5 linked regions of the Bombyx mori genome follow. The protein of the gene in region 4 interacts with the protein of the main gene of each other region in a biochemical or structural test. Links are inferred from orthologs where the notes say so. Each region holds a gene or a part of one and is shown on either strand. Other genes may lie near its edges. The genes, in order: RpS3, CREB, lymphokine-activated killer T-cell-originated protein kinase, Cdc2 and growth arrest and DNA damage-inducible protein GADD45 alpha.

Region 1 (4,141 bases), on a different chromosome or scaffold from region 4:
GATATTTTGCCAGCCATTAACAGTTCACGGACGTTCCATGTTCCAATGCAATGTTCGTTACGAAGTGGTGGTTGCTCGATTTTCGTGTTCTTCTTCGCCTAGAATTACTTGTTATGGGGCCTGGCGTAGAACCCCGGTAGAAGCTTTGGAAACATATTTTAAACCGGCCGGCCCGGGTACCGGATGGTGCCGTATGTCAGTCGGATCGTCCGACGTAATTTATTTGATAGTTTTATTACAGATTCACATTTAATTTGAATTTTCGGGTGCTGCCTTTAGTTAACATTAATTATTCACAAAATATAAATTTAACCAACGACAGCTGTTAGTTTATACTTGTATATACTTGTTGTTGTCACAGTCGACTCCACACGTCCTTACGGATCCATCGGGCAGCTGTTAGCAAATCCCGCGCCTCCGTGAAACTTGAAAGGTCTCGGAGCCACAAGTAATCCTGCAGTCCTAAAAAAAGATTTAGCATGAATTTTCCAACCGGCTGCCAGCCTGGCGTCAATCCTCCTTGGGCTATATATTATTATATATATTAAAATATCCATTTAACCATTGCAAAGTGCCTTAGATGCTGTAGGAACGGACTTTTACGGTTTCTTTTTTTGTTTTTCCTTTTACTTCATCCGTTTTTTGTTCTAATGATACTTATTCAATATTATATTATATTATAATTTTCCAATACCAAAAGTTTAAAATATCTATATATCACAACTCAAATAAAACAAATACTTACTTGTATATCATCGTTGTTTCTTCTATCAATAAATATGGAAATGTGGCAGTAGCCATCATAGAACACAAAATATTTGATAGATATCTGAATTTCGCTATTGACATTTTGAATACATGCTTGCATTTAAATTAAACAAGCACCAAACAACAACATTAGGACAGTTGGAAAACCAAGCAATTTCACCCAGTTGTAAGTTGTAACTATACTGAGAACTTATATCTCAAGGTGGGTGGCACACTTACGTTGTACATGTCTATGGCCTCCAGTAACCACTTACCACCAGGTGGGCTTTAAGCTCGTTCACCCAACTAAGGAATAAAAAAATAATAAAAAAAACATTGCAACTTCAATCCTGTTTAAAAAACATGTGAAGAGTATTTGCTGCGCTATTGTATAACAAATCGCCTATCTAGTGAAACTAAAGTTAACCTAGTTTGAAAATCAACCAATAAATCGACTAAACCCACATTGTTATTTCATTTTGCATGTTTTATAACAAATTGAGTGTAGACTTAAAAACGATTACAGTTGACAGTTGACATTACTTGACATTGACGTTCTTGTTGTCATCAGCCATCGCCGTCCCTCTTTTTCTCGGCTCCCGTTGCAATCATGGCCGTGAACAATATTTCAAAGAAGCGAAAAGTACGTTTTATTTAGTGTTATACGCTGCAAAATATTTAGTTAAATTTATTTTTAAATACTCAACTGATTTACCAGTTCAGAAAATTCGTTTATTTAGCAAGTGTAATTTGTGATGTTAGTGGATATTTTCAGTTGTGATCAGCGGTGAAATAGTTTTCATCATTTTTTACACTAACATAGTTTTCTTCAGTGATTTTGGAGCCTTCTACATCACAAACAAATATCTCGATTTCATACAATGAACGAAGATAATATTCAAAAGCAGGAGCGACGTGCTAAAAACATAACCTCTTGATGTTTTTTCAGTTTGTTGGAGATGGAGTTTTCAAGGCGGAACTCAATGAGTTCCTCACTAGGGAGCTGGCCGAGGACGGCTACTCCGGCGTGGAAGTCCGGGTCACTCCCATCCGCTCGGAGATCATTATTATGGCCACCAGGACACAAAGTGTGCTCGGAGAGAAAGGACGCAGAATCCGTGAGCTGACTTCCGTAGTACAGAAGCGATTCAACATTCCAGAGCAATCTGTAGAATTGTATGCTGAAAAGGTGGCTACTCGTGGTCTTTGCGCTATCGCCCAGGCCGAATCTCTAAGATACAAGCTTATCGGAGGTTAGTATGTCTACATGGTTAAACTTGCATGAAAAGCACAGAAAAATTCTTTAACACACCAATTAATAAAAATAACATGTGTGGCTTATTTACAGATACTAAACCAAACATTAAATATCTATGTGTATGTATGCCCCACACCTGACACTTCAATTCAGAATAAGTTGATGTGTTTTTCGTTGAGGCTATATTAACATCCTCATATCATAATTGCATCAGCCTATTGCTATATGCTTGCATGTTATGCTGGTAACATTTAAATCTGAAAATAATTGTATAAAATGCATACTCATTTTAGAATCATTTGAAACAATTCATTCATCTAATTGTGCATAAATAATCCTATAACTATGCTCATGACATACATGATTCACAAAAAAAAACTTTCCTATTCATTAATTTTAAATGTAAATTGTTATGATGTGTAATCAAAAAGTCTATACCCAGCCTCTGCACAAGACACACTACTAATGGCTATTGTGTATATTAATTTTATTAAAAAATCTCATAATTATAGAATTGTAATAAATTAGCCACAAAGTTTGTGGAAGTCGATTGGCAATGTGTTGTTACACACATATGGCATTTAAAAATTGCTACCTGTCTGAAGAATATTCAAACTAAAACACCTTCAAGTCACATTGCATGCAAAAACTGCTTAGAAGCACCGGATCCTAACGTACAATAATGTAAATTAATCTCAAATTCTTTAGTTTTTAGAAAGATTACTCTTTACTCCTTATGTATGTTTTCAAGAATAGTTTCAATAATTTGTATTTATCATTCATGTATTTATCGTTTATTTCGATGCTGTATTTATCTTTATAAAAATTGTAATATCTACTGTAATCTCAGGTCTCGCTGTACGTCGTGCTTGCTATGGTGTTCTCCGTTTCATCATGGAATCTGGCGCCCGTGGTTGTGAAGTTGTTGTATCTGGCAAGCTGCGTGGTCAACGTGCCAAATCAATGAAGTTTGTAGATGGACTCATGATCCACTCTGGAGACCCTTGCAATGACTACGTCAACACTGCTACCAGACATGTGCTTCTCAGGCAAGGAGTACTAGGAATCAAGGTGAGAAACAGCTTACTGTTAATAAATTAAAATTTTGATAAATTTTCAATTATACCCTGTAAGATTAACCTAATCTACCATTTGTATAAACTGCTACAAATAAATAGAGTGAAGCCTGGTATAAAACCAAAAGGGTTGAAAATAAAAGTATAAGGTGTGTGTCTGAGATAGTATTATAAACTTCACCAAAGTCACCAATGTATGTTATTATGGTATTTGTTACCGTAGGTATCACTATGGTATTTGTTGAATTTAACTACCTTCGTAATTAACGTAGGCTAGACTCAACTAGGCTAAATTAAAATAGTATAATTGAGTCGTCTATTATCAAAGGTGGCAATCTGTGCATTTGGACAAAAAAATATTTTGATATGTCAATACAGATTGATTTGAATATAATCGTCTCCTTCAAAGAATACGGTTCAAAACCTGCATTAAATAAAGGTTAATAGTTAACCTGTTATTTATCTAAGATGTCGTTCCGAAGAGTTTTGTGACTGCCAATGGAATACAAAGTCAATAATTCGTTTTTCTGATTTACCAATATTGTTCAAAAGTCAGATTGCCGGCTTTGATAATAGACGACTCAATTACTGTTTTATTCCTGTTTAAATATTCATTTACAAAATTACTTCATCATAATGAAATATTTCTTCACACTAACTTCACCACTAGATTTCACTATAAAGGGACATTTTAAGAAACTCCTTTCAAAGCATCCTAAAAAGTCTAATGCACTTGAATAGTAATAGTCAAGGGTTTTATCTTTGAACTCAGCCATAGAGTTTTGTAATAAATACATCTTCGAATCTCAAAAATCTATCCTAGTTTAGTCTTAAATTAATAATCCACGCAATCAGGGATTGCAAGCACTCTCAGTGGCTTTTGATCTAATTTGCAGTGGAAGAGTATTCTGGCTTGTTTATTGAAGGGTCTTTTATATATTGGCTCTGTTACGGTGCAAACCAAACAATTTTAATGTCCACAGCTCTCAAACACTCAAGAAAACACTATTCTGATTATTAAACGTACCACCATCATAAAAATAGCTATTTTACTTTAAAT
Region 2 (4,273 bases), on a different chromosome or scaffold from region 4:
AAAACTTGCATACTTATACAATGAAGATATTTTTATTTAGTATCAAGATATTATTTCGTTAATTATTTTTATTTTGAGAGCTAAATTGGTTAAATTTGTAAGTTGTATTAATGAACAAGATTTCCTACCAGAGTAATGTTTGAAAGTAAAAATTATTAAACTCAAATTATTCAAGTTTTATTTTTGGATACAAATGGAATGACATTAAATTTAAAGTTTTCAATTTATTGGTCTTTCAGGAGTTTTTTTTAAATTATTTCATTAATGACACAATAAAAGTGAAAAGTATCGTTGTCTAAATGGACTGACCGATTGCCCAACAATTGCAAAAGAAGAAACGGTTACAGCTTACTTCAAGCGTTTTGGTTAGCTTCACATTTAAAAACTTACTGAACAAAATTTGTAGATCATATATTATTTTTTATATACTGTACATACACATGTGTGGAAATTGACAAAGAGTATTAACGAAACTATTATATTTTACTTGTAATTGTATTTTTTTTATCTACATTAACAATTAATAGAGGTGCTAACTCCACTAATGAGTGAAGTTAAATCCTCACCTCACCTCCAAATTTAATGCATTAAGAATTTAGCCAGGCTCAAAATATATAATAATAAGAGAATTAGATTGTAATATATATAAAAAGCCTAATGATATCTTAAGTCAGAGAAATCAGTTTCGTCTTAAATACAAGAATTGGTATCTTTAAGCTACTGCCAGTAATTTCCACCACTTTAAGTAATATCTTGGAGCTCCACAGTGGGAGTGACTTGGTTCTGGCTTTGGTTTTTCTGATATCAATAAACAGCATATAAAACCCTCTTTAATTTTAAATTTGGAATACCATGAGCCCTCACATGGGTATCAGTATTGTACCTATTTCTAGTGAAAAATAATAATGTGTCCGGTTTGACCAAAGGTGGTCATTGTATTAATGCAAAATATTGAACATCATAATCCAATCTCATTCACATTGCAGTTTCTATGAGCTCCAGTTGTCGTTTTATAATATGTAGGCCTTGAGCAAAGTAATGTCAGCAGACAACCAAGGAGGTGGACTGACGATATGGTCAAAATAGCTAGTAAGTACTGGATGTAGATGGAGAAAGGCAAGAGACTGAAGGGAATTGAGTGCATGTGAAGAGAACTACACTCAGTATTAAGTGGACATGGGTTGAAAAAGAGGGGTTGTGGGCCCATCTTAGTATAGAAATATTACTACTAGCTTTTTCGGTGCTATGAAACATTAGTACTAGCGACAATTAACTGTGCCAATTTAGTAGCATATTGATTGATAATAACCAATTTTAATTAAAAATATTTAGTCATTGTGATCAAATTATGATTATTATTGAAAGACAAAATATGACATTGTTATCATAATTATTGCATCTTCATTACTACTGCAGTATTATTAACAGCAATACATTTGATAAATTAGTGCTTTTTCCATATTATTACATTGGTAGCTGATCCAATGACAAAAAATGTAATGATTGATTTAGGTGAATCAAGTTTGCATAATTTATTATTGAGCAGACTATTATTCGCACAATGCACAGCACTACATCTATCACAAGTCTTTATTATACACCAAAACAGTAAACATAGAAACTGTACCTGCAATTTCTGCTCCTCCAAGGTCATTTAAAATTTTTCGATAAGACGGACGTCTAGTCAACATTTCTCTATATTTACGTTTGGGACTTTCATCACCACTGCCACAGCTTTCATCACTACATGACTGACCTTGTGTATTCACAAGTGTATTAGGTTCTGGTTTTATCTAAAATAAGAAATAGGAATAAAAAAAATTTGAAACTTTTGTCTGTTTTAGATATTTAGTATGATTTTATGAAAATTTACAATTGAACCATACTCTAGTTATTGCTTATTTTGGTCATTAAATATGCTATAAAGTTTGATTTCAAAAAATGTTTTTATCCTAACCAAAAAATTAGGCAATGATGGCTTTCCTCAACACTATTGAGTGAATTACTGTAAAGATTAGAGAATATTTAATTTACCTGTAACGTTTGTAATGTCCCTTGCGTAGTGTGTATTACAGAACTGGGTTTACTAACAAGTATAACATTTCCCTTTGGTATCTGTACAGATTGGATATTGGATGCTGTTTGTATCACTGATTGTTGATTAGGTTGAATAACAGACTGCACCTGCAAAAAATTTAAATGATTTATATGTACTATCTAGTCTTAATATTTGTAAACAAAACAAACAGTTTACTGATATTATTGAAAAGGTCCCCTTTTAACTATAATATTAAAATTTTATATTAATTTGATTCACTCAACAATACATATAGATGGAATTCACACCTGTGCAGAGGGAGCCTGACTGGGTAGAGTAAGTTGTACTATACTGGTGACAACATGAGGAGTGGAACCCGGTGTCGAAGAGCTCGCGCTGGCCAGTGGATCCGTCGTGCCAGCACCGCCTGTGGTGCCGTTCTCTTCAACCATCCCTTCCATGCCAACTAAGGTCACCTAAAATTCAAGGTCAACTCTCTATGCATTCTTCATTACTAGGTTTTTATGCGTATTGCAAAACCAATTTGTTTAGCTTGGCTCTATCGTTGCAAGGTTGTTCACGGGATATCCTAAAACGGCATCATCACGTCATAGCCAAAACGCGGTATTTCTTAACAACGCGTTTCATGTAAATGACACAGATTATCTCTGTGTTTGGAACATTTTGAGTGATTTTATCATCATATGGAACATACATTATTTGCGATTCCAAATATATGCGACCGTGACAGGTCGCAAGTTTAGTCTTCACAAGCACTCACCAGTTACGTATTCCTCGTCACCGTCTATGCTGCGTCCGGAGTGGGTGAACGGGAAGGTACGTAGTAGCCACGTCAACTGCGAGAAGACTCGTCACTGGCGGAGACCTATGATCTTGTATGCGTCATCACAATATGGCCGAATTCTTTAACTGGATAGCGCATGCGTTAAAAATTCTCAATTTACAATAACTGTCAGTAATGGATGTTATAAACTTTGAAATTACAATAAAAAATTGTGTTCATAATATGTCTAGGTACATAATCATTGTTTTCGTTTTTTGATTATCATCACTTACACGACATTTATGCATGTTAAAAATATTGTACAAGAAAAAATATTTTTAACTGTCCATATTTTTTTAAATTTCGCAAACAACTTAGTCCATAAATAATCAATGAATTTTAAAATAAATAATGAACCAAAGAAAACACCATTTTGGAGTAACCAGTTATAGTGATTATATACTCTTTGGGAGTAACTTTCTGTGTTGAAGCAATTTTATACTCCCTAAATCCTATGTGGTATATGATGACGTCAGTCACGTGGCTGCATATGCAAGCTACTTTTGCCTACATTGTATCTTCTTATTGTGTCACATATTGCAAGTGTCACGACTTTTTCAATGTAACTGTCACAAAACAAAACTCAAAATCAAACATATTTTTTTTTTTTTTTTTTTTTTCCTTTATGGCAATAGTTTTAACTTTATGCCAGTTTCAAGTGAAAGGTAGGGAAACTACCCGCGACAAAGTCATCAAAAGGAAACAAAAGGATAAGCTAGTTAAAAACAAGACATGAAAAATAATTAATAAAAATAAATTAAATATATTAAATAATAAATAAACATATTAGAGATCTGAAGAGGAGGAAGTCTGCGGCTAAGACTAAGTATAAGTTGCGCCCAACCGAGTTTAACCGAACACGTTATGTTAAGATCAGAAATCGTTGCAATATGGTGTGTAGAGACGCTCAAAGACGTCACATTCATGATTCCGTTAAAGTTGAGGATCCAGCAAAAGTCTGGAAATTTCTAAGGTCATTAGGAGTTGGTAAATCTCGTCAAGAGTGTAATTCTACAAACATTAACATTGATCAGATGAACATTTTCTTTACTTCTTCGTCTTTATTAGATGACGTTGTTAAGTCATCTACCATTAATTCTCTTTCTAACATTACCGCTCCTGACCATTCTTCTTTTAAATTTCGTCAATTCACAGCTTGTGATGTTCGAAGGAGTATCCTTTCTATAGCGTCCAATGCTATCGGAACAGATAGTATAAGTCGTAATATGGTCATCCCATTAGTTGATATCCTGCTTCCTATTCTTTGCCACATCCTTAATTTTTCAATTTCCAACTGTGTGTTTCCTTCTGTTTGGAAAGAAGCACAGATAATACCTCTGCCAAAAAAACCTAACCCTAAATCCTTTTCCGACTATCGACCTATATCCATT
Region 3 (4,128 bases), on a different chromosome or scaffold from region 4:
TAACAAGGTGTTCCACAAAACAGACAATTTCATCCAGTAAAATGCTTTCGAGAAGTCAAAAAAACAAACTTATGTTGAATAATCCCCCAAAGACTTAGTAAAAGACCGCATATGTCAAAAACTAGGCTACCCTTGGTATCCTATTAAATTATATTATATGGTGCCCCAAAAATAGCGCAAGACTTGAATTTGCCGCCATTGAAGATGCAGTAAATTTGTTGGCAGCTCTGAAAAAATAACATTTTGGTAGCTGAGAGTTTAATTTAATAATAATTATAAGATTTTAGAAGAAAATCATCATACGCCATAAATCATATTTTAACGTTCACCTCATGTGAGCTTTTCATTAATATTTGTATAAATTAAAAATTTAAGTTCGATTTCATCGAATAATTGATCGATTTAAGTTGATTGCGGTTGAACAATTTTTAAATTAATTTTCATTTAAATTTTAAATCATATCTACGATACGGCTTAACAGCACAGTATACAATAATTGTCATTCCTTTAAAATTCGAACTTTGACCCATAGATAATACACATAAATGCTTTGACCTTATATAAATGTAGTACTTTTTAAATGTAGGAATAAGTAAAAAAACGTTTCATTGATCCTGTCTGATCTTCAAAATAGTTTTGTATTTTGTCCTACAGTTACGATGGGCCGTACTGTGAGCAAGAGGTGCAAGCACAGTAAGACTATTAACTTCATTTTCTTTAATTAAAATTCATTTCTAAGCAGCAACGCACCTCCTAAAAAGCAACATAAGCTTTCGCTTGATTTTTTTTCTTGTTCGACAGTTTGATGCAACTTGGGGCTTAGAGTGACCGTGCTTCTCATTCTAGCCCAGCGCCGCATCTACTTACACCTGCCTGTCTTATCCATCTAATGTATAAAACTGTAATCAAATATTTTAATCGCAAGATTTACCGGCGATACTTTTTTTTAGAACAATAAAAAAAATCGAAATTGAAGAATAAGCTTACAATCGTTTGTTTAACGTAGAAGCAAATTTAAATCATTCGAGAAGCTTGGATAAAATACCTCTTTGGTGTCAAAATTGCATCTCGTTCTTGTAAGATTAATAAGTAGCCGGTAGAGGCATTTCTAACAGAACATTTTTTTAACTATGGCTTGAAATTTTTAAGTGACATAGTCCATAAATAAAATAAGGAGAAGCCAGCTAGGTCAGAAAGAATAGCTGTTGAATCGTAAAATAAATTGTTGTTCCTTCCTTTTTTCTAGGCTATTTGTGTAAGTCATCCTTCTGCTCGTTTTGTCATACTGTTGCTGTCAAAATTTGTAAATGTCAAGCTGTCAGAATGTCATAATTTTACCTACAATTTCAAATTTAAAAATTAAACCGTTGTTGTACTGTGGTGTCTTTTTCAAATTGGTGAAGTAAACATTTTAAAACTTAACCAAATTGAAATCAATCATGACCGAATTCCAAACGCCACAAAAGTCTATCAAATCTTTCGACAACGATAAAATAACTATACCACCATCACCGTTTTTAAATAAACTTGGTTATGGTACTGGTACGTAAACAATAAAACTTCAATAATTAATAATAGATTTACCTAGAATACTGTAAACTTCATTTTGTGTTTTAGGGGTGTCCGTTCTGCAATTAGTGAGGTCCCCGAGGGCAGGACTTATCCGATCACCGTGGGCTCTCAAAATGTTGAACAAACGAGTTAAACCAAATAAAGTATACACAGATCGACTGAAAACTGAGGCGGAACTGTTACAAAAAATGTCCCACCTTAACATAGTGGGTTTTAGGGCATTTAGTAAAGGCAAGATTCTATACTTGGGCATGGAAGCTTGTGATTTATCCTTGGGGGACTTGATCGAAAAAAGAGTAGATGATGATTGTACGCCCTTTTCACCAAGACAAATGTTGCAGGTAAACATTTAAAATTATTTAATCTACAGTCAAAGTTGTCTATTTTGATATTAAGAATGTTATTGTATTCTTTAAAAGTTCACAGTAATTTCATTATCCATGAGCTAAAAAGGTATTAGCAATGCTGCAATAGAATGATTTATATTTCAGAACTATTTTTCAGACCAGAAACTGAACAAAAATTAAATTAAAATTATATATTATAATGAGCAAAATTATAATTTGTGTAATTACTGATGGTAGGACCACAAGTGAGTGCACGGGTAGGTACCACCACCCCGCCTATTTCTGCCATAAAGCACTAAGTAATGCATTTCAGTTTGAAAGGTGGGGCAGCCATTGTAACTATACTAAGACCTTGGACTCATATCTTAAGGTGGCATTTATGTTGTAGACATATATGGGCTCTGGTAACCACTTAACACCAGGTGGGCTGTGAGCTCGTCCACCCAAATAAGCAATTAAAAAAATTATGTTCCAATCCCTTTATACAACTTATTGACTCTCAGCTTCCAAAAATGGTCTACAGTATACTTCTGTAGATTGTAAGATGACCAGTTACCTTGTTTTTACTTTTAATTATGTTTAGTCTCATTGGACCTTAATTTTAGGTGGCTGTAGACATCTCCAGTGCACTTGAATATCTTCATACGAAGATGCAAATTTTACATGGAGACATGAAATCTTACAACATATTAGTCAACGGTGATTTTGTGATATGTAAACTTTGTGACTTTGGAGTGACACTTCCTCTCGACGAAAATGGAATATTTGATAAGGAAAATGCTGGTGGAACTGTTTATTATGGTAATTTCTTTGACTAAATTATGTAGGTACCTATATAAGTTTTGTCTACAAGACAAACATTTTTTCAGTTCAGTAAAGATTCTACAAATTATTAAAATAAATTAGCGTAATTGAAAATCTACTTGATTTTGAATACAGAAGTAATACAATGTTTGATAACAAATAAATGTGTGACTAACAAAACACTATAAAACTCAGGTACAGAAGCATGGAGCGCACCTGAAGTAATTCACGGAGGGCAGATCAGTGACAAAACTGACATCTGGCCATTTGGTCTCACTCTGTGGGAGATGATGTCACTAATGCCACCTCACTCACAAATTGATGAGGACACCTTTGATATGAGCCTGGATGATCTTGACGAGAGTGGTTATGATTTCTCCGATCGATATGGTAAGCATACAAATGAATGTGCTAAAGTTAGATTGCTCTGAGTTGGATGTAAGGTTGTCCTAAAAATATTTATTTCAGTTTTTGTTTCTCATAATGATAATAAGTTAGTTGGATGATATATAGAAATAATTCGACCAATACAATGGCCAATATTTTAAAATATAAATTAGAATAAATACTGAATCAATTTTTGGAAAATCTATTTTATTTTCAAATTCTTTTCTTTTCTTCTACTTATTTTAAATTGATTTGAACACAATTTTTTTCTTATTATTTGTATACCATTCTCTACAGAAATAATTTCCCAATTAAAGATAATATAAAGACTTCTAAAAGAAGAAAATCATAATGTTTACTATTTTGATAATAAATTTGAATTACAGGCAGTCGTCCAGACGTCCCCGCCAACATATCGGAAGTAGAATACGCACAGCCGTTAACCCTGTTCTGCAGCTGTACTGAGAGCCGGCCGGCCGACCGCCCCCAGGCCGCGCAGCTCGCGGCGGCCGCCCGGGCCATGGCAGCGGCATTACTTCATAACACATCATGTCAATAGGTTTCTATAAGGAATTCACATTATCTTACCTGCTACATCTAACATGTAATTTAGAAATTTTGTGTATTTGAACTCATCGCGGCCTAAAGACAATAGAGAGAGAGAGAGAGAGAATACACTTTATTGCACACCAAAACACAATTTACATTCAAAAAAACAATCAAAAAACAGATAAATTTGTACAATAGGCGGTCTTATCGCTAAAAGCGATCTCTTCCAGACAACCGTATAATTTATAGAAATTCTGGAAAATATAAAAAAATATAGCAGGTATGTTGCGGTGTACTATAGTTAATACATTATAGAAAATATATACATATAATAACAAAATATATACCGTTTACATATAATATGAAATATATACTTATTATTATATACCAATATATATGCATGCAATAGGCATGATATCTCCACATAGTCTTCCAATGTGAAGACGGAACCACTCCATACTGACAGACC
Region 4 (4,130 bases):
TATAGTTTGTTTTATTTAAGCTAATATCAGGTATAAGCAAGGTCGCAAGAAAGTGGAGGTACATCCGGGAATGGAATGGATAAACAGAAGTTTTAGAGGCTAACAATATGTAAACTAGTCTTCTATTTCTTTCTACATACTTCAAAATTACATATTTATAATCATATTTACTGCCCTGTAAATGTAAGTCAAACATTTCATTATATTCATTCTTTTATTGGAAGGAAATCACTCAATCAAGTTGAAATAGTATTATTATAATTTAATTACCCCAACAACAGGTTTTTTTAAAATTTATTAACTGTTATATAAGTGTTGTTGTAGTAATTGCACACCCAAAAAAAACAACCAAAACTTGAATGTCCACATCATATTTTAGTTAGTGTTCAATCTGTGTTTTAATCCAAAACTAGAGTTTTATTCTAAGCACCAGTTACATTCCATTGTTGAAGGGAGCATAAAAAACTTTTTTTTTTCAATTATTGTTGTTAAGATTTAACTCTAATAAATCTAAGGCAGACAAGCATCACAGTAAGTGGTCACCGTTGCTCATGGACCTCAGAAATACATAGCCAAAGCCTACCACTAAAATGGCGAAATGCCTACTCACCTGAAAATGCGGAAGAGTTGATCAATTTCAGAGTCTCCTTGAAACAGTGGCTTCTTTGATGACATCTCAGAGAATATACAGCCAACTGACCATATATCAATTGGACAAGAGTATCTAAAAGTAAGACAAGTTACTATTATACAAAATAAATAATAAATAAATAAATAATCTACCAAATAATGAACTCCACACGGTCACTGACCATTCTTTTGTATTAAGAAACAATTAGTGGCAATGTATTGCCACACTATTCTATGAATTTACAATGCAACTTGCCATTTTTTAGAAAACAAAGTCTAAAGCTCTTAAAACAAAATGTTTTTTCTAAAATACATTTCATTATTGGGCCAAATTACAACTAATGTGTATTGATTACTCATTATAGAAAAGTTATATTGGAGTTTGTAGTGGCTGGTTTTGACTGATTTGGATAAGATTTTACCTTTGACTTCCTAGTAAGACCTCAGGAGCCCTGTACCACAATGTGACAACTTCATGTGTGTAGACCCGCACTGGAACACCGAATGCTCGACCAAGACCAAAATCTGCAACCTGTCACAAATTTATTAGGTATTTATGAAGAAAATAAAACTATATGACCATTGTCTAATGTCAGTGTTTGACTTTTCAAACTGGTAAAACTATATTTTGAACAAATATACTATGACATGGCCTTCACACACGTCATTTCGGATCCTCCCGATCCACTAACAGTACTTTTAGGTACCTCAAGCACCGATCATCGTTCTCGTCGAACCCGTCGCTTGCGACGAAGGGCTCGACGAGTAAATTAACCCTCAGACACAGCCCACTGAGTTTCTCGCCGGATCTTCTCAGTGGGTCGCGTTTCTGATCCAGTGGTAGATTCTGCGAAGCACGGCTCTTGCTAGGGTTCGTGTTAGCAACGTCATCAGGTTTGAGCCCCGTGAGCTCACCTATTAGTTAAGGTTACGCTGATATAGCCTCTCAAGGCTATCAGGTTAGGTAGAAAAAAAAGGCCTTCACATTGACCTATAGTAATAGCACTGACACTGTTCAGTCAGTATCAACACCAATATACATGGTCTATATAGCGTCCATAGTTTCATGTTACTGGTTTTGATTTACAACTTTTTTTAAAACGATAAAAAGGCTGTCAGTAGTCTAGAATTATCGAGAGGGTTCTTGCTGGTCCCAAGACTCACTGTTTAGCACTTTTTAATATCTTTTTGCAATTATTAATATCACCATAAAATACTCTCACTTTAATGATTCCAGTCTTGTCGATGAGTAGGTTCTGTGGTTTGAGATCTCGATGCAGGATCCGTCGTTGGTGACAGTACAAGATGGCATTGTTGATTTGATATAGATAGCTCTTAACTACAGATGGGTCCATGAACTGAAAATAAATAATGATAACCAATATTTTTACAAAAATTTACTCTGTTACAAAATTTAACATTAAGAATTACTTTGCCTTGTCTTGTGTGACTTATTTATTGCATTTATAGATGGCCCACCTGATGGTGAGTTGTATCTAGGTCTTGCGGAAATCAGCAATTCTAGAGGCAAATCCCAGCCATGGTCAACTGCTGACGCATTATCTCAGGAGACCTTCGCAGTTTATTTAAACAAAAAAGTTTTTTTTTTTCAGAAATAAAAACTCCAAAGATGCAACTAGTCCTAATTAACAATTTTTTATATTTTAAGCATTGTACTACAATTTATATGATTGTGGACACACTTCAAACAGGCGTCATAGTTTGTTGTAAAATTTAATTTAAGGCATGGTTATGTTACCTTTCCAGAACCAAGGGAGTCCATATATTTCTTCAAGTCCATAGAGAGGAATTCGAAGATTAAGTAAAGTCGCGACTCTTCCATCAGGACATCCTCCAACTTGACAATATTAGGGTGGTTCAGTTCTTTAAGTAGAGATATTTCTCTGAAATGTTTTCAAGAAGTTCTGGTTAATATAGGTTATGTTCTCAAATGCATGAGAATGTGTTTTTAATTAATATAATTGTTTTTGTGCAAGTAATTCATTCAATTTTACGTCGTTTACCTTATTGCCGTGGATGGTATGCCTTCGTCTTCGGACTCCAAGCGAATTTTTTTCATGGCTACAAATTGACCAGTTATTTTGTTTTTTCCTTTGTAAACGACACCGTAAGTACCTTCGCCGATCTTTTCTATCTTTAAGAAATCATCCATCTTGTAGTAAGGAATTTTGGCGGTTTTATGCAGACCACAACAAAAAAATCACAACACCATGCAATTTTTCTTACTCCTACAAAATGCGTGTTTTAATAATTTTTATGTGTTTTAAATTCATAAATGTCTCAACATTTGACTGTAATCCTTAATTCAAGTCACTTCTGTTCTTTTTAGGAAATATTTTAAATGTTTTACTATTTTACAATCTCTAACGTTTATCCCTTCAACGTCTTTCAAACGAAAACTTTTTGAAAATTTTCGAAGTGGACTATTTATGTCAATTTATGTGTCTATGCTTTGTTTATGACTAACTTGTTTCAGAGTTAAATAACGCTTAGAATAGCATAAATGTGCTACTTCAATAGACAAAATTGTTGTTGCTAGAATGAGATAGTACTAGAACACTAAAAATGCATATCAAAAAGCTTGATGTTTTATGAATGGTATCGGAACACATTATCATAGACAAACAAAGAGAGATTAATTTGAAAAGCAAGACGTACATACATACGTTGTAAGCATTAGTCTATTTTAAATAATGCAAACTGAATCATTTCAAAGTAAAATATAAATATTAGTTTAATTAATTTATTTATTTTGTTAAGAGTTACACAGGAAAGCAACGATACATTATTTTTACAGTAGTTTTCGTCGTGCAACACTAGAAATGAATCTGTTGGTACCCTAATGTGTGGAAAACAAAGCTTAACTAAATATAACTGTTTATGGTTTTCAATCTGATTTAAGGTCATAAATAGTCACAATCGATCTTTTTTTCGAGGCATCACATTAGGCTTAGATTTTTTTTGCTATAGCTTGTTTTATATCCGCGATAAACGCGTTTTTTTCTCATTTCTCTCATTTTAAGACCTCAAACGTGTTTTATGTTTTTATTGGATCGCATAACATTTTATATCTTAACTAGGTAGTCTGATTTCAAAATATCCAATAATCGTTGCTCGATATCCGTGTTTCATTCATATCCGCCATTATTGTAGCGACAGTCTGTACTTTAAAGTAATAAATGAGAATCTTTTATTGTTTTGAATTCTAAAAATGCTAGTCGTATAATTGTTTTAGGTACCTACAAATTTGAACCGATTTTGGTATTTCCAGACTGATATCGGATTTAATTTTATTCGATTCCCGATCGCGACTGCTTTTATTAAAATGCCGTCTGATTTAACCCTTAAAGTTTAAGGGTTAAGGTAAAATAAGGTCCAAGATTTCGGCCAGAGAGAGGTAATGAGAGCAATTCATCATACTCAAATTCTACAGATAATTTAATCTGTTTCTCAATTGAACTCTATGTAAACTTTTGCCC
Region 5 (3,559 bases), on a different chromosome or scaffold from region 4:
AAATTTTACATCTACTTCATTTACATAGAAAGTGAAAATATTTTTGAATTATAGAATGTTAAGGAGCTATGTAAACCCCTATTTTGAAACATTCTTTATTGGTGCTCCACTTGTCTTAGAGAGATGTTATATAGCCGTCTTCCTCAATAAATGGGTTATCTTTAACACAAATAATTTTTCAAATCGGACCAATTAATATTTCCTGAGATTAGCGTGTTCAAACAAACAAACTTCAGATTTGTAATATTATGAAGTATAGATAAATACAAGAATTCCAGCAAATACTAAATTTCAATTTCTGATGAACCTTAAGCATATTTTTTATTAAAATTCCATTATACGATGCTCCTACCATAAATTAATTATTTAAATTGTTTATCTAAATTTATTGTCCTGATATTATTGACAGTTCAATATCATGGGTATCTATCTTGCTTGTGCTTCTTTCTGGAATCTTTTTCTTTTTAACTTAAGATTATATTTAGGGGAAAAAGCGGGAAAAAAAGAAACTTTGTTACAAATAAAATAAAATTTTATTCATGTTTATTATGTTTTAACTTTTACAAAAGATTTATTACGAAATTGGTATAAAGATATAATAAATACATTTTTCGTTACATTAAACTATCTTATGAAACAATGAAAAAAACACTTTTACATTTTAAGACAGTAGCAGTTTAGCACCTACATTTTACAAATTGCTCTCTATCAATTTTTAAATTATTTTAATTCAAAACAAACCCCAAAACATTCTCAAGCAGACTTAATGCAACTACCAAACAACAGATGGCGTTGTGCCTAAGCCAAAATGGCGACCTACTTGAAAAATAATATCGCAAAATTTTCTTTTCACAATAATATCCTCATGTTTAATTCACTTCTCGGGCAACTTGATGACGGGCATTTGTGAATAGCCCCAGTCTGATTCGCAGTGGTCGATCAACTGTCTCTCGGCTTCAGATAATGTTGATAAATCTATTTCTTGACTGTCTGTGAATGGATCTGTATACGGATAGTGTACCAGCACGCAACTGAAGTCCATGGGAGAGCAGTAACCAAGCATTCTCCTCAGCTTAGTCTCACAATCGACCTGTGTACAAAGAAACGAATTTGTTAGCTTTTTTATTTTGATTCCTTTTAACTTAATTCCTTGAATCGTTATAAATTCGATTAATAGGTTCTTGTTAGAGAGTCGGAAATTTTAATGACTTTTTTTACTTCGTGGAAACTAAATTGTCATATAAAATTAATAATAACTATGTATAATTCATTTTATGAAGAAGGAAATAAAATGAAACTCACTTTAATAACATGAATATCATTTTCAACGCAAAATGCTTGCAGGAGGACATCTTGCATATGCGTTGCACTATCGCCAGGCGGGGCTTCGGCGGTCAGGCAAAACAATGCACCATTGCAGTTCTTCGATAAGTATTGAATGGCGGGAAGTAAGCCAATAGTTAACCTTTTTTCGACACAGGCTCGCCTTAACACTGTCTTGATACATTGTCCGATAGAGCTGTGGGAAAACAAATACATTAATAAATTATATGTTACCAAAAACTTTAGTCTCTTGCATGTCAAACGGAGATGCTAACCGCCATACTACAAACAAAATATTATTATCAAAAGCATAAGGTACGTCAATTTATAGTCTAATTGGCATGTTTGAAGTTATTAGAACTTTAAAGTTCTTTGATCTAGGTCAAGTGAAATTCTTGTGAAATATTCATTTTAGTTTATGCATATTGAATTTTTCCTGTTGTAGCTGTAAAGTATTAAGATATTTATTTACCTTTTAGCTGCTATGACACTGAAGGTCTCGGCTTTTACTGGAACAACTGCTTCCTTGTACATTTTGGATAGACGAATGCTTCTTAACTCTTGAATTTCACTAATTTCCAAACTCCGCAGTGAAATCCGAATGTGAATTTTCACAGAAAGCACTAACACTTTACATAAAATCCTTCTATTATGTAAACACACTTGAACTTCTCGCAGTAATTCGAACTTGTGACACAATAATTTCACAACTTTGCTAACGAAACTCGCGTTAGTACACTTTGGATGTTCAATGTAGAATGTGGAGAAGTGACGTAGCGTTCCCTTTTATTGGAAAGGCCGCGCATGCGCACGCTAGTATTTGTATGTGTGCGTATCCTCCGATCAGTTTCGTCGGAGTTTCTTCGAAAAACGCTTGTATTTTCGGTTGTGTGAGTCGTTTTAACTAGTGTAAGTCTGTAAGTGTATATACGAGATAATAATAATGATACGTGGCACGTGGTACGTGTGTGTGAGTGGTTTTTTCTGAAATGCGAACGCGTGGCTTGTCGCGACTTGTTTAAGGACCAATTTAGTTGGAGCTACCCCGTTCTTCTTTTTTGAAGTAAATGCGGCCAGAAAAGGGTAGGTACTATCAGAACGGTAGGTCAAGGTATTTTTTGTTATCGTTAAGCGCATTGGAGAATATCGGAATTCCCGCTACATTGGGTTTTTATTTCAACAGAGGAAATATGGTTCATTTGAAAACAAAAATTGGGTTTGATTCTGGTTTAGTTGTTTTTTTATTTGTAATGAAACATTCGTTTTCAATAGGTACAAGGACTTTAGTATATTTATTGTAGAGCCATGACGGCAAGATGAGAAAACTTCTAATGGGCATTTCTTCTAGTGTTACGACAGGATAGAATTTATTTGAAGTTATGGGCAGGTAGTGAAAATGTTTTTTTTTTTTTTAAGAGATTTTATGACCTGGTAACTAAGACCTTTAAGTCATGTCTTATTTTACTTTATATTCTTAATTTTATGAAAAATGATAATATGGAGTGAAATGAAATGAAGATGATTAATTTGAGACATTAATCAACTGGGATGAAATTTAATGAAATGAGATGATATGGGATGAAATATAATCGCAGTAAAATGGTGGTCATTTACTGAGATTTTTTCAGTGGACTTTTTGGAGGAACCCGAGAAGTTACGTCCAGCAGCTTTGTTTCATTTTCCCACATTGGTGCACTTTCACAGATATTAAACATTTAATAAACCACCGTTATTACACATTTAAACCTGAAGAAACACTAAATAGACAAAATAAAACAAATCACACAACTTCACTGCTCGCGTTCCCGCCAAAAAGTCCAGTGAAAATGTTACTACTATCCTTGTACCTACCTACCCAACTTCAGAAGTCGATGTATTTTAATAGTCTCCACCACAATTCCATTACCTGCATCAGAGCGAGGAGGAAGACATTCATATAAATACGTTAGTTTGAGTATATCATTAGCTACTTATTTTTTTACCTCAAACGTAAATTAAAAAAACCGTGTTTTTTTGAAGTTTTTACTTTCTATAGCACATGAGATGTTAGTGTCGAACGTGAGAGCGACTCTTTCTTATTTTTTTGCTTAGCAGGGTCAATGACCTCGTGGCCCACGTAGTGTTAAGTGGTTACCGGAGCCCATGGACATCAGCAACGTAAATGATTTCTAGTGTATCCAAAGCAGTCAAATTGTATGCAAAAGTGAGTTTGTTTTTCACGTCTGTTAGAAACAAA

The links.
Region 1: of the proteins of Cdc2 (region 4) and RpS3, one has a biochemical effect on the other in vitro, tested with the Homo sapiens proteins (2 studies listed by BioGRID, with this or other methods). The link is inferred for Bombyx mori from reciprocal best matches to the Homo sapiens genes CDK1 and RPS3.
Region 2: of the proteins of Cdc2 (region 4) and CREB, one has a biochemical effect on the other in vitro, tested with the Homo sapiens proteins (2 studies listed by BioGRID). The link is inferred for Bombyx mori from reciprocal best matches to the Homo sapiens genes CDK1 and CREB1.
Region 3: the proteins of Cdc2 (region 4) and lymphokine-activated killer T-cell-originated protein kinase form a complex in vitro, tested with the Homo sapiens proteins (2 studies listed by BioGRID and IntAct, with this or other methods). The link is inferred for Bombyx mori from reciprocal best matches to the Homo sapiens genes CDK1 and PBK.
Region 5: the proteins of Cdc2 (region 4) and growth arrest and DNA damage-inducible protein GADD45 alpha form a complex in vitro, tested with the Homo sapiens proteins (5 studies listed by BioGRID). The link is inferred for Bombyx mori from reciprocal best matches to the Homo sapiens genes CDK1 and GADD45A.

The regions. Positions count from the first base shown.
Region 1 is NC_085120.1:12,499,971-12,504,111, reverse strand, and holds the start of RpS3 (ribosomal protein S3), read left to right. Parts: upstream 1-1,333; 5' UTR 1,334-1,357; coding exon 1,358-1,390; intron 1,391-1,696; coding exon 1,697-2,000; intron 2,001-2,855; coding exon 2,856-3,076; intron 3,077-4,141. UniProt on the Homo sapiens protein: Component of the small ribosomal subunit. The ribosome is a large ribonucleoprotein complex responsible for the synthesis of proteins in the cell. Has endonuclease activity and plays a role in repair of damaged DNA.
Region 2 is NC_085116.1:8,893,065-8,897,337, reverse strand, and holds the start of CREB (cAMP responsive element binding protein), read right to left. Parts: upstream 2,813-4,273; 5' UTR 2,754-2,812; intron 2,628-2,753; exon of another isoform or gene 2,515-2,627; 5' UTR 2,500-2,514; coding exon 2,347-2,499; intron 2,185-2,346; coding exon 2,035-2,184; intron 1,794-2,034; coding exon 1,628-1,793; intron 1-1,627.
Region 3 is NC_085116.1:697,784-701,911, forward strand, and holds the start of lymphokine-activated killer T-cell-originated protein kinase, read left to right. Parts: upstream 1-1,323; 5' UTR 1,324-1,439; coding exon 1,440-1,542; intron 1,543-1,617; coding exon 1,618-1,913; intron 1,914-2,524; coding exon 2,525-2,720; intron 2,721-2,918; coding exon 2,919-3,113; intron 3,114-3,496; coding exon 3,497-3,669; 3' UTR 3,670-4,128. UniProt on the Homo sapiens protein: Phosphorylates MAP kinase p38. Seems to be active only in mitosis. May also play a role in the activation of lymphoid cells.
Region 4 is NC_085122.1:10,047,224-10,051,353, forward strand, and holds the start of Cdc2 (cell division cycle 2), read right to left. Parts: upstream 2,815-4,130; 5' UTR 2,804-2,814; coding exon 2,655-2,803; intron 2,535-2,654; coding exon 2,390-2,534; intron 1,989-2,389; coding exon 1,854-1,988; intron 1,163-1,853; coding exon 1,053-1,162; intron 725-1,052; coding exon 611-724; intron 1-610. UniProt on the Homo sapiens protein: Plays a key role in the control of the eukaryotic cell cycle by modulating the centrosome cycle as well as mitotic onset; promotes G2-M transition via association with multiple interphase cyclins.
Region 5 is NC_085134.1:418,465-422,023, forward strand, and holds growth arrest and DNA damage-inducible protein GADD45 alpha, read right to left. Parts: upstream 2,326-3,559; 5' UTR 1,858-2,325; coding exon 1,796-1,857; intron 1,639-1,795; coding exon of another isoform or gene 1,591-1,638; exon of another isoform or gene 1,576-1,590; intron 1,520-1,575; coding exon 1,303-1,519; intron 1,091-1,302; coding exon 875-1,090; 3' UTR 511-874; downstream 1-510. Other genes in the region: electron transfer flavoprotein beta subunit lysine methyltransferase, read left to right, coding at 1,591-1,638. UniProt on the Homo sapiens protein: In T-cells, functions as a regulator of p38 MAPKs by inhibiting p88 phosphorylation and activity.